Sus scrofa: one gene and its partners. The protein of the gene in region 2 interacts with the protein of the main gene of each other region in a pairwise test. Links are inferred from orthologs where the notes say so. Each region holds a gene or a part of one and is shown on either strand. Other genes may lie near its edges.

What was found.
Region 1: the proteins of TRIM2 (region 2) and CIB3 interact in binary tests that used the Homo sapiens proteins (3 or more experiments, as listed by UniProt). The two-hybrid records come from large-scale screens. The link is inferred for Sus scrofa from reciprocal best matches to the Homo sapiens genes TRIM2 and CIB3.
Region 3: the proteins of TRIM2 (region 2) and LRRC8E interact in binary tests that used the Homo sapiens proteins (3 or more experiments, as listed by UniProt). The two-hybrid records come from large-scale screens. The link is inferred for Sus scrofa from reciprocal best matches to the Homo sapiens genes TRIM2 and LRRC8E.

Annotation. Positions count from the first base shown.
Region 1 is NC_010444.4:61,406,267-61,410,741, reverse strand, and holds the start of CIB3 (calcium and integrin-binding family member 3), read right to left. Parts: upstream 3,043-4,475; 5' UTR 2,728-3,042; coding exon 2,677-2,727; intron 2,461-2,676; coding exon 2,426-2,460; intron 766-2,425; coding exon 654-765; intron 1-653. UniProt on the Homo sapiens protein: Acts a an auxiliary subunit of the sensory mechanoelectrical transduction (MET) channel in hair cells. Plays a role in regulating hair cell MET channel localization and function.
Region 2 is NC_010450.4:75,936,717-75,941,322, forward strand, and holds the start of TRIM2 (tripartite motif-containing protein 2), read right to left. Parts: upstream 3,097-4,606; 5' UTR 2,948-3,096; coding exon 2,861-2,947; intron 2,781-2,860; exon of another isoform or gene 1,869-2,780; intron 1-1,868. UniProt on the Homo sapiens protein: UBE2D1-dependent E3 ubiquitin-protein ligase that mediates the ubiquitination of NEFL and of phosphorylated BCL2L11. Plays a neuroprotective function. May play a role in neuronal rapid ischemic tolerance.
Region 3 is NC_010444.4:71,315,222-71,319,471, forward strand, and holds the start of LRRC8E (volume-regulated anion channel subunit LRRC8E), read right to left. Parts: upstream 3,005-4,250; 5' UTR 2,901-3,004; intron 1,435-2,900; exon of another isoform or gene 1-1,434. UniProt on the Homo sapiens protein: Non-essential component of the volume-regulated anion channel (VRAC, also named VSOAC channel), an anion channel required to maintain a constant cell volume in response to extracellular or intracellular osmotic changes.

The DNA of each region.
Region 1 (4,475 bases), on a different chromosome or scaffold from region 2:
GTTTGGATGGAGAGATCTGCTTTCTGCTTGTTGCAGAGCTGATGGGAGGAAATCTGGGTCAGGTAAGCTTTCCTTTCACTACCTCAAGAGGACAGGCTGCCTGAGACTGAAGCCTCTTCCTAAGAGAAGCTGAAAGATAGAGGCAGATTCTCAAGCATATCTTCAGAGACCCTGGTTCCAGCTATACATGCTGCTAGCCTTCTCCCTGCATTTTTTGTTCACATGATCCAACCCATTCTGTCCTTCTTGAGTCAGGTTTCTGTCCATTGTGATAAAATAATCTCTACTCACAGTCACTCACCCCACAAGTCCCCTTCATAGTCACAAACTATGTGTCAAACATCCAACTGAGAAGAACCTGCATTTACTAGCTCCTACTATAAAAAGAACATTCCCTGAGTACTTGCCATGAAGCAGGTCTTGTGCCGAGCTCTTTTCCTGCATTGTCTTGTCTCATATTCCCTACAACCCAGAGTTTGATTCCTGTCTCTATCACATCCTAGTTGTGTTACTATGAACAAGTGTCTTGACATCTCTGAAATTCAATTTCTTCATCTGTAAAATGGAAATAATCACAGTACTCACCTCATAGGGATATAGCAAGGGATATTCCTACAATTTTTTCCCCCACCTGTCCCATGGTTCAGGCGTACCTTCAGCTCAGGCATGCTGCCAATGAGCTCATAGGGCACCTTCACATCAGGGCAGCTGGTATAGTCAAGAGGAACAAGCTGGGGGGCCAGGTCCTGGTAGCGATAGAAGAGCCTGATGTGGGGAGAAAAATAATGAGAAGATCTAGGAGATGAGTAGGGGTGGCTTGTCCCTACTCTTTCACTCTTATAGCTGTTCACTCTATACTGAAGAATGCTGAGTCCCCAAGCACTATCAGCCATGAGCCCAACCTCACACACACAAGGCCAGACATAGGCATGTCTATCCTCCTGGGACAAGGCCAAGGTAAAGAGAAGGCTTCAGGGCTAGGGGAAACCAGAGGGGGGAAAACAAGCCAAGAAGGAGGAAGGACTTCCTGTAGGAGGGGGCATTGGTGCTGGGCTTTGAAGCATGAGTAGAAGCTTACCAGGCAGATGAGGTTGACAGAAGGAGGGTGCTTGGGGCACATCAGCATTCAGAGATTCTGAGCCAATCTATGAATCTCTGGACATCATCATGTTTTTGGCAAGACCTTGCCTCTAAAGACCTCCAACCTCATACTTTCTCTCTTTCCATAATGCAGAAGAGCAGAAAAAAGTCTACTATTCAGATTTTCCAAAAGGGTAAATGATAAGCATTTTGTAAAACACCAAATGCCACCAAACACACTACCTAGATTGTGAGGCCAGCTCTCTACTCCAATGCCCTCACCTGATGACACCATACCATCATTGGGGCATGCTGAGCAGCAGGCTTACAGAGACCATTCTTGATGAGTCAGATATCCCCAAGTTGCTAAGGGGACAGGACTATCTAAGGACTGTCCCTGAGGGGGACCAGAGCCTCTGGGTCATATGATGGCTAGGGAAGGGGTATTTCAAGCTTCAGTTCTGAATCATCTCAGAGAATAGTCTGGGTTTGGGTTTGGGTTTCTGCATAGTTTTGAGCAAGTCTCTCTTCCCTTCTTCTCCTGAGTAGATCTGTCTGACAAGCAAGAAGCTTGAGACAGACAAAATGTTAGCCCTCAAATTCCTTGGGCTCTACCCATCTATCCAGCGGCCCAAGGTAAGTCTCTTGTGTCTGAGCCTCAGTCTCCCCATCAGTAATCCAATCGTAATGGCCATGACGACCCTGTGAGCTGTTCTTCCCCAGACAATGGGGCTAACTGGCGAAAGGTATGCCAATCAATAATGGATGTCCAATGCCCACACAATTGGGGCCTTGGCCCCGATCACTCTGCAGTCAAACCCCAGCCAGCTTGGGTTTCACAGCTCCAAGTTCATGGGTCGGGGCCTCTGGACAATGGCTCTGTGAGCTGAGTGATGATATAGACTGTCCATCTATGCCCACCTTGCTCACACCAGGGACCTGCTGCAGCCCAGGGCCACCTCCTCTCTCTCTAATCTTGATGCCAAACCCACAGCCCAAAGCTGGCTCTAGAGTCTGCCCCCAGTTCCCAGCCTCTTCACACCAGCTTCAGGGGGATCTTTCCTAACATGCCGATCTGCCTCTCCCCTGCTCGCACACTCTCTATGGCTCCCCACCACCCTTAGAAGAAAGCCCAAGTCGTCAGCCTAGAAGTGTGACAATAGGACCAGATGTGACTTCTCAACCTTCCCCTCTCTGCATCCATTCACTGACCATGCACGCGATCCCCCCCATTTAACCCCCATGAAGCATTGAGTGAGGTCAGACGGCAAATCCAGGACAAACTGCAAATCCAGCAATATATAGAAAGTGTCCAGCTCTTCCTTCCTTTCCTCTCTAGACTGACCTCATGATTTCCTTCCTCGTGAAGAAGGTGCAGTCCTGCGGAGAGAAATGTTGGCTTGGCACAGAGCCTGCCTGGAGGGCCTCTTTCTTCTCCCACAATCGCATACCCATCGCTGCCTGATGCCACACCCAGAACTGCCCCAGGAATGCTTACTGAGTGCACACCCAGGAAGAAAGCGAGGCCGTCCCCATCTCGCAGGCCAGGAAACAAAGGCTGCCAAAGCCACCAAGGGTCCAGTCCATCACCCCTACCTGATACGCTTCTAGCTGCTCATGTGTGAACACTGTCTGCTTGTTGCCCATGGTGAAGGCCACTGTCAGGACTCTGGAACAGACTCCTAAAAGACCCCAGTCTCCTCAGGGCCACGCCGGTTGCCAGGCTGCCGCACATTGGTGTCTGGGCAAATCTCCCTGCCCTGGCTGTCACCTGCCCACCCGCCGCATCACCCCCAGCCTGGGTGAGACTCAAGTTACAGCCAAGCTCTCTGGGCAACGGCCTGAGTGTGTCCTTGGCCATCAGGGGAAGGAGAAGGGCTGTGGGAGGTCACAGGGTTCCTCACAGGGAGGTCACCTCAGTGGGAAAACCACAGCTGCCACTACCAGGAGAGACTAGGGGCATGGGGGAATATTATTTTTTTCTTTTTCTTTTTCTTTCTTTTTTTTTTTTTTTTTGCCAAATCCACGACATGTGGAAGTTCCCAGGCCAGGAATCAAACCTGCGCCACAGCAGTGACCCAAGCCACTGCAGAGACAATGCCAAATCTTTAACCTGCTGTGCCACAGGGGAACTCCCAGTATGGGGCACCTTCAGGAGATGGGCAGGGTGGTGGAAAGGTTGTGAGCACACTCCAGATCAAATTCCATTTCTCTACACAGTAGCTGTGTGACCTTAGGCAAATCACCTGGCCTCTCTGAGCCTTGTTTGTAATGTGGAAATTATATTAGTACCCACTTCACAGAGTTGTTCTGAAGACCTAATAAGATCATTAATGCACCCTCCCAAAATATTTGACCATTGGATATAACCCAATTCTAGGCACATAATGGGGAATAAAAAAGATGAATTGTGCATTGGAAATGATGATGAGAGTAATGTTATGGCTTGAGAAAAGCAATCCAATGTCTAAGTTTGGGTTAAATAACAACAGAGTTTTTTGTTGCAGAACTTGTCAGAGCCTTTAATGTGCTAATGTGCACCAGGCATCCCCAGGAGGCAAATACAATGTAGCAGCTACCAACCTTATTCAAACCCAGAATGCTCTTGGGCAGAAAATTGGGGAGCCAGAAATTCCCAACTTGGCACTCCCATGCCCTTCCCACTCTAGATCTGGCCTCCTTCCACTTTTTTCTCCTGCTCAGCTACTTCCAGCTCCATACCCTGGCCCCCTGAACCACTTGTGAATCTTCCTCTTCCCTCATCCCCACTATCCCTGGCCTGGACCATTGCATTCCTCCCACCAGGCTCCTCTGGTCCCTGTCTCAGCTTCCATCCTCTGCTCAAGCATGTGACATCATCTTATAAAATGTGACTATGAGGAGATCCGTTGTTGTTCAGTGGGTTCAGAACCCAACTAGTATCCATGAGGATGCTGGTTAGATCCCTAGCCTCACTTAGTTAATTATCCAGCGTTGCCACAAGCTGTTGGTGTAGGTCACAGATGTGGTTTGGATCTGGCATTGCTGTGGTTGTGATGCAGGCTGGCAGCCACAGCTCCAATTTGACCCATAGCCTAGAACTTCCATGTGCCACAGGTGTGGCCCTAAAAAAAAAAATGTGACTATGACCAGGATTTAAAGACCGCCCCCCCCGAATATAATTTTTGAGAAAAAAAAACTGACCATACCAAGTGTTGACAAGGATGTTGAACAACTGGAACTCTTATATGCTGCTTGTGGTGATGCAAAATGGTACAGCCACTCTGGAAAATGGGTTGGCAGTTTTTTGTAAAGTTAAACGTGCACTTTACATATTACTCAGCAATCCCACTGATATTTGCCCAGGGGAAATGAAAACCTATATGTGCCCACAAAATAGAAACATTTATAAATCA
Region 2 (4,606 bases):
TTCTTTTTTTTCTTTTTCAGCTGCACAGGTGCATAGGGAAGCTCCCTGGCTAGGGATCAAATCCGAAGCAGAGATAGGACTGGCAACTCTGGGTCCTTAATTCACTGCCCCCACTGCAGAGACAACACTAAGTCCTTAACCTGCTACACCACAGTGGGAACTCTTATAACAATTTTAGTTCTTTACCTATAAATTAAGTAACTCACATCCTAGACACTAGCTGGTTTTCAGGGACATTCTAAGCTAATTTGATAACTGCTTTCCTAAGAGTTATTTAAAATTGTTTCTATTCTGTAGGCTTTTCCTTTCTTGTTTTGTTTTAAGATAATCCTCAACGATCAGGTTACCAAAGAGAAGCTGCTTGGTGGGAGATGGGTTTGGAAGACCAGCACAAATCTTAAGGCATCACTGTAAGATATTACTTTGTCATGTCCATTTTACAGATTAGGAGACTGAGGCCTGGGAAATTTAAGCGCTTGCCCACAGCTGACTGCCCACACCCACAGCATGGGGTAGATCCTGGCTCTGGCTGGCACCTTGGGGAAGGTTAAGGCTTCCACTGCCATCAGCCCTTGACACCACATTCCAGATACCATATCAAGACATCCAGCTGCAGAGACACCAGGATTTAGGCTTCAAACACTATGACTTGGTATCACACACAAGGCCTGAGCCAGATTGACAAGGAAATGCACAGGACATACTGAACATGCTATTCCGGAGCCCACCCACACCCTTAGATGCTCCTTTTCTCCCTAGGAGAAAGCCAAGTTTGTTTGTTTGTTTGTTTCTTTTTTCTTTTCTTTCTTTTTTTTTTTTGTCTTGTGCAGCTTATGGAAGTTCCCAGGCTGAGTCCAATCCCAGCTGCAGCTGCTGGCCTACTCCACAGCAACGCAGGATTAGAGCCACCTTTGCAACCTACACCACAGCTCACCACAACACCAGATTCTTAACCCACTGAGTGAGCCCAGGGATGGAACCTGCATCCTTGTGGATTCTAGTCAGGCTCATTAGCTCTGAGCCACACCAGGAGCTCTGAAAGCCAGAGTTCTTAAAGAAATACATAAAATCACAGAGATACGCTGGCACCTCCTTAAAGTTTGGAAATCTTGTCTGGAAATAAATATAAAACAGAAGTTGAACTTCAAGATTTTCTCCACCAATCAATAGTAAGAAAAAACCCACACTCCTTCTCACTCATACTTCAGGGAGAAAGGAGGGAATTAGGATCTCCTCGCTTTATGTATGGTCCTCATCAAATGACTGCCTTGTTAGAACACAGTGAGAAGAGGGGAGGGGAAGAAGCGAGCTCAGGGCTTGGAGCCCGAGGCCCAAGAGAGACTGAAATCCCAAAGGAATCCGGCCACGGGCGATGCCCCCGGCGGCGCGACACGCCCGGGTCCTTACAGGACTGATCGCCGTGGTCACTGCCAGCGCACAAAGATTCTCCAGGGCGGGAAAACACTGGTCTAACTTCATTGTTTCGAGTCAAGCTTAACACGCAGCTTCTCCCCTTTTTCAAAAAGGACCCGAGGTTTAAGGGCTGGACAGGATTGTCTACACCGGCTGCCTGGTGCTGAGGTCTTTTCTTTGTGTCTTCGCCTCTCAAAGCAGAGGAACAAATCCCAAAGCGTGCGCTAGAAACCAGGCGCCCCAGCCTCTCTCACAGCCACCTGGCTGTCGCCTCCTTGCCGCGCCAGCGCGCACAACCTACAGACAAGGAGTGGCGACGCGCGTCGCGAGGCCCTCCCGCAGCTCTTTGCCCGCACACCGGCCTCTCCTCCCGTTGCCTCTGCGTCCCTGCCACCCGACTGGAAGCCTTCGGAAGCCAAGCCCCCTGCAACAAGCGTGAAGCCACGGATACTCACGTTTCCAATTGTTCTCGTGAAGTGCGCGCACTCCCCACCACGCCGGTGGTATTTAGAAGCCGGAGAAAGCGTTCCGAGCGCCGCCGGCCGGCTGAAAGCCCCTCATTTTCTTCAAGCTCACTCCAAATGCGCCTGGGTGCCGCCAACGCAGCTGCCAGGTTTAATAACTGTGTCAGACAGCCCCTCCCCCCATAAAAAGACACAAAGATGACAGACTGGGGACTGTGAAGCGCGCGATCCGCCGCAGTCACCCGGCCTCATCCCCGGCGTTGCCGCAGCTGAAACGACTGCGCAGGCACCGACCAGGAAAAGGTTCAAATGCCAGCCTTGACCTAAGAATTCTCCCGAAACCTCTGTTCTTTCCTATTCGCTCTGAACATAAATCTGATACGCCTCCCAATAGTCCTTGTGAAACAAAACAAGAGGCGAAAAGCGAGGGGGGCCAGTGGCGTTTGACCACGGATCATAAGAGCCAAGGGCTCTTCCAGTTACCCTAAGTTGTGTCTCAAATGTAAAGGGGAACTTAGAAGAACGCAGCAAACCTCAACCCTATTAATGTTTGATTTTCCGGGCGTTGGTGGAATATCCTGACACTATTTAAAGCGGCAAAGCACAGGAAGCTCATCAAACTAGGTTTCCCTCAGGTTTTGTCGCGCACACGAACTCTCAAGCCTTTCCAGAGGACACTGGCAGCAGAACCTTACTGTCTGGGGAGTCTCCTTTGCAGATCCTCATCGATTTGGACCATCTCCAAAGTGCAGTTCAGCGCCTCGAGGGCGACTGGGTTTTATCAAGCCGAAAGGAATTGGTGGTTCTGTTTTGCAAGTGAAATATCCCACCGAAAGTAGTGCTTTTAAAAATATGGTAGATATATAACGCATCCAGGCCTCGTGGGAGCCTGGTGGCCTCGCCCCGCGGCCCCCCCCACCCCCGGCCCCGCCCTGCCCCGAGGGCTCTTCCCGGCGTCACCCCACTGCGCCCGCTGCACCTGCCTCTGCCGGGAGTGGTTTCCGTGGAAACTCCGCAGAGCCGGTTCTCGCTTCGGACTCGCGGTTGCCGGGACAACTGCGACCTAGCATTAGGCGGTCCAGGAAGGATGGCGATGGATGCTTGCTTAAAAATCACAGATTCAAAGAGATTATCGAGGGAGAAAGGGCAGAAAGAGGAGGGCGGCGATATTTGGAAATGGAGGCGGAGCCGCGGGAGCCTGTGAGTGGGTGGGGTTAGTCCACGTTGCAGACCCTTACAGAAGGTATAGCCTCTTCCTTCCTCCCACTAAGCGAGTTTTTACTTGGCTTTAGAATGAATTCCATCGTTCCCTTCAGCATATTTACTTTTCTCTGTTCTGCTTAAGAATAACTAAGTAGCTCCTTAGAAGACAGGAGAGGCCCATTAAGATGCGTGAAGCGGAGGGGAGACCTCATGGGAATAACCCTTAACTGTGAGGATCTCTTTGCACGCTCAGGCCCCCACGAACACGTGGTTACAACATTAAACTCAGGATTTCTGGTGATGGTTTGGGGGGGCGGGGAGAAGGTGAACGAGAAGTTTCAGTGTTCATGTGCCATTTTGTCACTTTTGGATATGGGCATTTTGTACTTGTCAAACAACAAATAGGTATTCAAAAATAAAATGTATCAAGGCAATTTTTCTTTTTCCTTTTTAGCTGCACCTGGGGCATGCAAAAGTTCCAGGGCCAGGGATGGAACCAACGTCACAGCAGTGACAATGCAAGATCCTGAACCTGCTGTGTCACCTAGGAATTCCCAAGTTATCTGTGATTTGTGGAAGGCATATAAACACACCCATACCCCATATTTATTTCTCTTCACTATAAATTGTATGTTTTGTATCTGAATTATAAAAAGTTTAAAGTTAATGGCGGATTTGAATTGATGAGATTTCACTATATATATTATGATAATATGATATTAATTAACCTATGAGTTGAGGCTGAAATATATTTGTATATGTGTATGTATACAGAAATGCATCTCTCTCTCTCTCTTTTTTTTTTTTTTTTTTTTTTTTTTGCCTTTTCTAGGGCCGCTCCCGTGGCGTCTGGAGGTTCCCAGGCTAGGGGTCATATCGGAGCTGTAGCCGCCAGCCTACGCCACAGCCACAGCCATACAACGTGGGATCGGAGCCGTGTCTGCAACCTACACCACAGTTCACGGCAACACCAGATCCTTAACCCACCGAACAAGGCCAGGGATTGAACCCACAACCTCATGGTTCCTAGTTGGATTCTCGGATTGGTTAACCACTGTGCCACGATGGGAACTCCTCTTTTTTAAAGTCATAAATACATTTTTAGGTTCCACATGCATCTAACTTTCATAAAGGAAGTGATATTTCTATATTTTAAGAAAACGGTTTGTATAAAGGAAAATATACAGGAAATGCCAAAAGTTAAGACATTTTGAAGAGAAGAACTGTCTGATTTACATGTTTTGAAATTCACATTTTGTATCCTGAATCTGTTTTGAAGCACAGAATTTTGGAATCATGTGATACAGGTATTTATTTGCAAATGAATTCATCTAAAGCCAGGAATAGAACAGACATTCTCCTCTCTCTCTTATTATATTTCAAGTTTGAGAAAACAAAAAGTATCAAGCAGATTATCTTTACTTGTAACAAAAATTAACAGTGAATGCTACAGAGCACAGAAGAATAGGGAAAATGAGGTTAAAAAATACTAAGCAGGGAAGCATTTAAAAATAGTGCTTCAGGAG
Region 3 (4,250 bases), on a different chromosome or scaffold from region 2:
GCAGCTGGAGAGCCTCCTCCTCCTTTCTCCCCAAGGCTGCAGGGGGAAGGAAAGGGAGGCAGCAAGCCCCCTAAGCCTCTGTGGGGAGCTCCTAGGCTGGTGCTCATCACCCCCCCCAGCCCAGCATCCATGCTCCCCAATACACAGCCCCTGTTTTCTCACCCAGATTTCCTGGAGCCTGCTATGCTTGTCCTGGTAGCCTGTCACTAGGTGCAGGCTGGACAAGGAAGGGAGGCATCTGGACCACCAGCTGGTCCTCCAGCCTCCCACCCACCTCCAGGGGGAAACTGGTCTCTGTCCCACACCTCAGCCAATTGCTGACACCTCCACGACTTCCTTTTTGGTTCCCGAAATCTTAAAGGCCTTAGAGTTACTCCGGAGTGAGGAAAAGGTGGAAGAGGGGGCAGGGATATAGGACGCAGGCCTGCCCACTAGGCTGAGGCAGGTAATCCGCCACACCCCTTAATCCTGTAAGAGGCTTCTACCTCCCTATGGGGGATGGCACGCAAGGGACAGGGACACACCTGCCCACACCCGGTCTAGGGGAGCCCCCTGACTCAGGTTCTGACTCACCCAGCATAGACGCACGCAAGGGGGTGCACAGACAGAGCACACAATCCCTCACCCAGTGGCCCATCCCTCACAATCAGTATCACGGTCTGTCCTAAACTACAAGCCCGGTAAAGATGCTCCAGCGCATCACAGATTCAGTCAGTGGGGAATCTGATAGAAAAACACATTTAGGGCAGCTCAACAGCCCCCGGGGGGGCAAATTGGAGCCATCAAAAGGGACATCCTCAGGGCATTCTGGAGTGTGCACATCTGTACCAGTGTGCACAAAGTGCAAATACACATTAAGCCAAGGGGAGACCCAGGACCAGGGAGCCAGCCATCTGCTCTTCTAGTTCTGGCCCCCTGTCCCTGTGAGGGACACTGCTCAACTCCTTCACCTGAGAATGGGAACTCTGGGGCTGCAGCAGAAATGCTCCACAGATGGGCAGGAACCAACTTCTTGCCCAGGAGTCCCTGCCATCCTTTAGGACCCATCTCACACTGGTGGAAGCTCTGCCACTGGCCATCCCAGGTCTGCTACCAAAGGCAGAGACACCCAGGGTCCCCAGCCGATGGCCCAGAGGCTCCCGCAGAGCAAGGTGTATACACAACAGCATCCGAGACTGACGTGGGGTTATTATTATGTCTCCATGACTCAATCTTGATCATCCTGAACCTGCCATTAAGCTTTCCCAGAAACAAGCCTGCCCCACTCTTTGTCTGAACATGGCTGGTGGCAGGGCTCGGGGAAAGGCTTCATGGGGGATTGGGGCAGAGAGCTTATGGCTACCAGACCATTTCATTGCCCTTTTTTTCCCGCTCACCCTATGGCATATGGAGTTCCTGGGCCAGGGATCAGATCCAAGCTGCAGTTGTGACCTATGCCACCACTGTGGCAATGCTGGATCCTTAACCCGCTGTGCTGAGCCAGGGATCAAACCTGCATCTCAGTGCTCCTAAGATGCCACCCATCCTATTGTGCCACAGTGGGAACTCCTCAGTGCCTTCTTCTTTTTTTTCTTTTTTTTTTTAATGAGGGATGCACCCACAGCATATGGAAGTTCCTAGGTTAGGGGTTGAATCAGAGCTGCAGCTGTTGGCCTATGCCACAGCCACAGCAATGCCAGATCTGAGCCACATCTGTGACTTACAGCACAGTTCACGGCAATGCCAGGACCTTAACCCACTGAGCAAGGCTGGGGATGGAGGATCCCTCTCCTCATGGATACTAGTCTGATTTGTTACCGTTGAGCCACAGTGGGAACCCCCACTCAGTGCCTTTCTTTTTTTTTTTTCACCCCAACTCTGGGAGCATGGATGTTGGGACCCTCCTTTTCCAGACGGAGGAGTGAAATAACTCTCTCAAGGTGTCACAGCTACAACAGGCATTCAAGGCCAGACCCCTACGTCAGTTCTGTCTGATTGTGTGTGCTCTTTCCATGTTGAGTGAGAACGTCTGGCTGAGATGAAGCATCTTTGCCAAAAGAACCTCAGAAGGGGGTTCCTTATGGTGGAGAAGAGATGGGGGGGGATGTTGGCTTGGCACACAGGCTAGGATGTCCTTGTCAGCCTAGGGCCTGGAATAGGGCCCCTATCCAGCCTTAGCTCCACCCACCCATGCCTCACCCATGCCTCACCCCTGCATCTTCACTCTCAGGCCCTCCCCAAGTCCCCAGCTTTCCTCTAAACACATGGCAATGGGGGGTGCTTCTGGTCCAGCCCCCACCCACAGCCCATGCTAAGAAGCAAAGAAGAAATGGTGACAGCTGTCAGCCCTGAAGTGGGCCTTAGAAGGCACAAGGTCCAACATTTGACTTACACAAAGGAGAAACTGTGGCCTGGGTGGGGGAGGGTGGCCCGGTAGTAGCAGATCCTGTTCTGGGCCCCAGGCCTGGGGACTCCCTACCTATACTTTTCCAAGTGGCCCTGCCGGGACTGGAGGGTCTGGGGAGTCTTGACGTTCAACAGTCCCAGAAGGGACAGTCTGGTGAACCCCCCCCACCAAGTGGTAGGGTTTCTGGGAATTGAGGGGCACACAAGGATGATTTAGAAGCCGCTGAGCAGCGGAGAACCCAGAGCAGAGGACGTGGTCAAGACCCCCAGGTTGATTTCAGCCTGTTGATCTTCACTCCGTCCTTGGCCAGGCCTGCTGGGCTCCCTGGACAGGCGCCCTTGGGCTGACCAGGGCCGGGCCTTTCTCTGCCCCCCACCCCACCCCCAGCTCCTTCTGTGCCCCAGACGGGCGTGGGGCTCAGATCACAGTGCCCGCCGCACCTGGGACGGTCCTCCCGTGGACCAGATCCTCACCCCGCCACGCCGTCCTCAGGGACGGAGAGCCACCTACTCACCGCACGGGCCAGACGCGGATTCCAACTCCTGCGTCCCCAGGAGCGGAGCGGAGCGGCCGGGACTCCCGCAGAGTTCCCGGGCCTGGCCGGGTGAGTCAGGGAGGGCGGGATGTGAGTTGGGAGCCGCCCCGCTTCGCCCCGCCCACCAGCCGTCCCGTCCCCGCCTCCCTTCAGCCGCTCCCAGGTCGCCCCCAGACTCCCGGTACTGCGGGATCGCGGGAGGAAGACGATCCTAATTCTGATGTCCCGGAGGTGGGCAAGGCGCTGGTCGGAGGAGCAGGAAACCGTAGAACTCTGGGCTCCGCTGCAGTGGGGCGGACCTGACACGGGGAAACTGAGGTGGGGCTGGAGGTGCTCGGCTCCCAAAGCCAACCTGTGGACACCCTTACAGAAGCCAGGCTGTGCAGATCTGTTAGGGACGCGTGGAAGTCCTCTTCTCCTCTCTTCGCTCCAGGTGTAGGCACCTGGCCTTGAGACTTAATCAAGGGACGTGGGACCAGGTTCCAAGGGAGGGCAGGGCACTTCCCCCTTCCTACTCTGACCACCCAGCCGGCTGCCCTGCCCAGCCTTGAGGTCAGCTCTCCCCAACCTGGGGGCGGGGAGCAGGGAGGAGAGGGAGTGGGCTGCTCTCAGGTCCTGGGGGGCGGGGATTTGGGCGCAGGGATCAGAGGGCTCTGGGAGGCCAGCTTTTCTAAAGGAGACACTGCCTCCTCTCCCGCCACGACTGCCTCCCACCTTGGGAAGCCTGAGCTGGGTCTTCACTAAGTCTTCGGCCTTGATGTGCTCTGTCTACAAAATTCAAGGGAGAGGGAACCTGGACCAGGTGGAAGAGTAAGACCTCCTCTCCCATGGGGAAAAGAAACCCATAAGTTCACCAGATTAGAGACAGTCTGAAACCTGGAGGGTTGAGTCCCCCCCTCCAGGAAGCTTAGGTTCCTCTGTGAAACCTGCAGTGGGCATGATCCTTGGAGAAGTCCCTATGGGCTCCACCAAAGGCCGCCCAAAGACAAACTTTATTGTTTAGACCAGATAAGTGAGGCTACCTTCTCTCTCAGAGCTTCTGCACTAGCAGGTGTGCATGTGTGAGAGAGAGAGAGACAGAGACAGAGAGAGAAGGCGAGAATGCAAACAAGGAGTTTCCATTGTGGCTCAGCGGCTTAAGAACGTGACTAGAATTCACTTGTATTCAATCCCTGGTCTCGCTCAGTGGGTTAAGGATCTGGCATTGCCGTGAGCTGTGGTGCAGATCGCTGACCCGGCTGGGATCCCTGCTTGCTGTGGCTGTGGTGTAGGCCAGCAGCTGCAGACCCCTAGCCTGGAAACTTCCACACGCTGCAGGTGTGGCCCCAA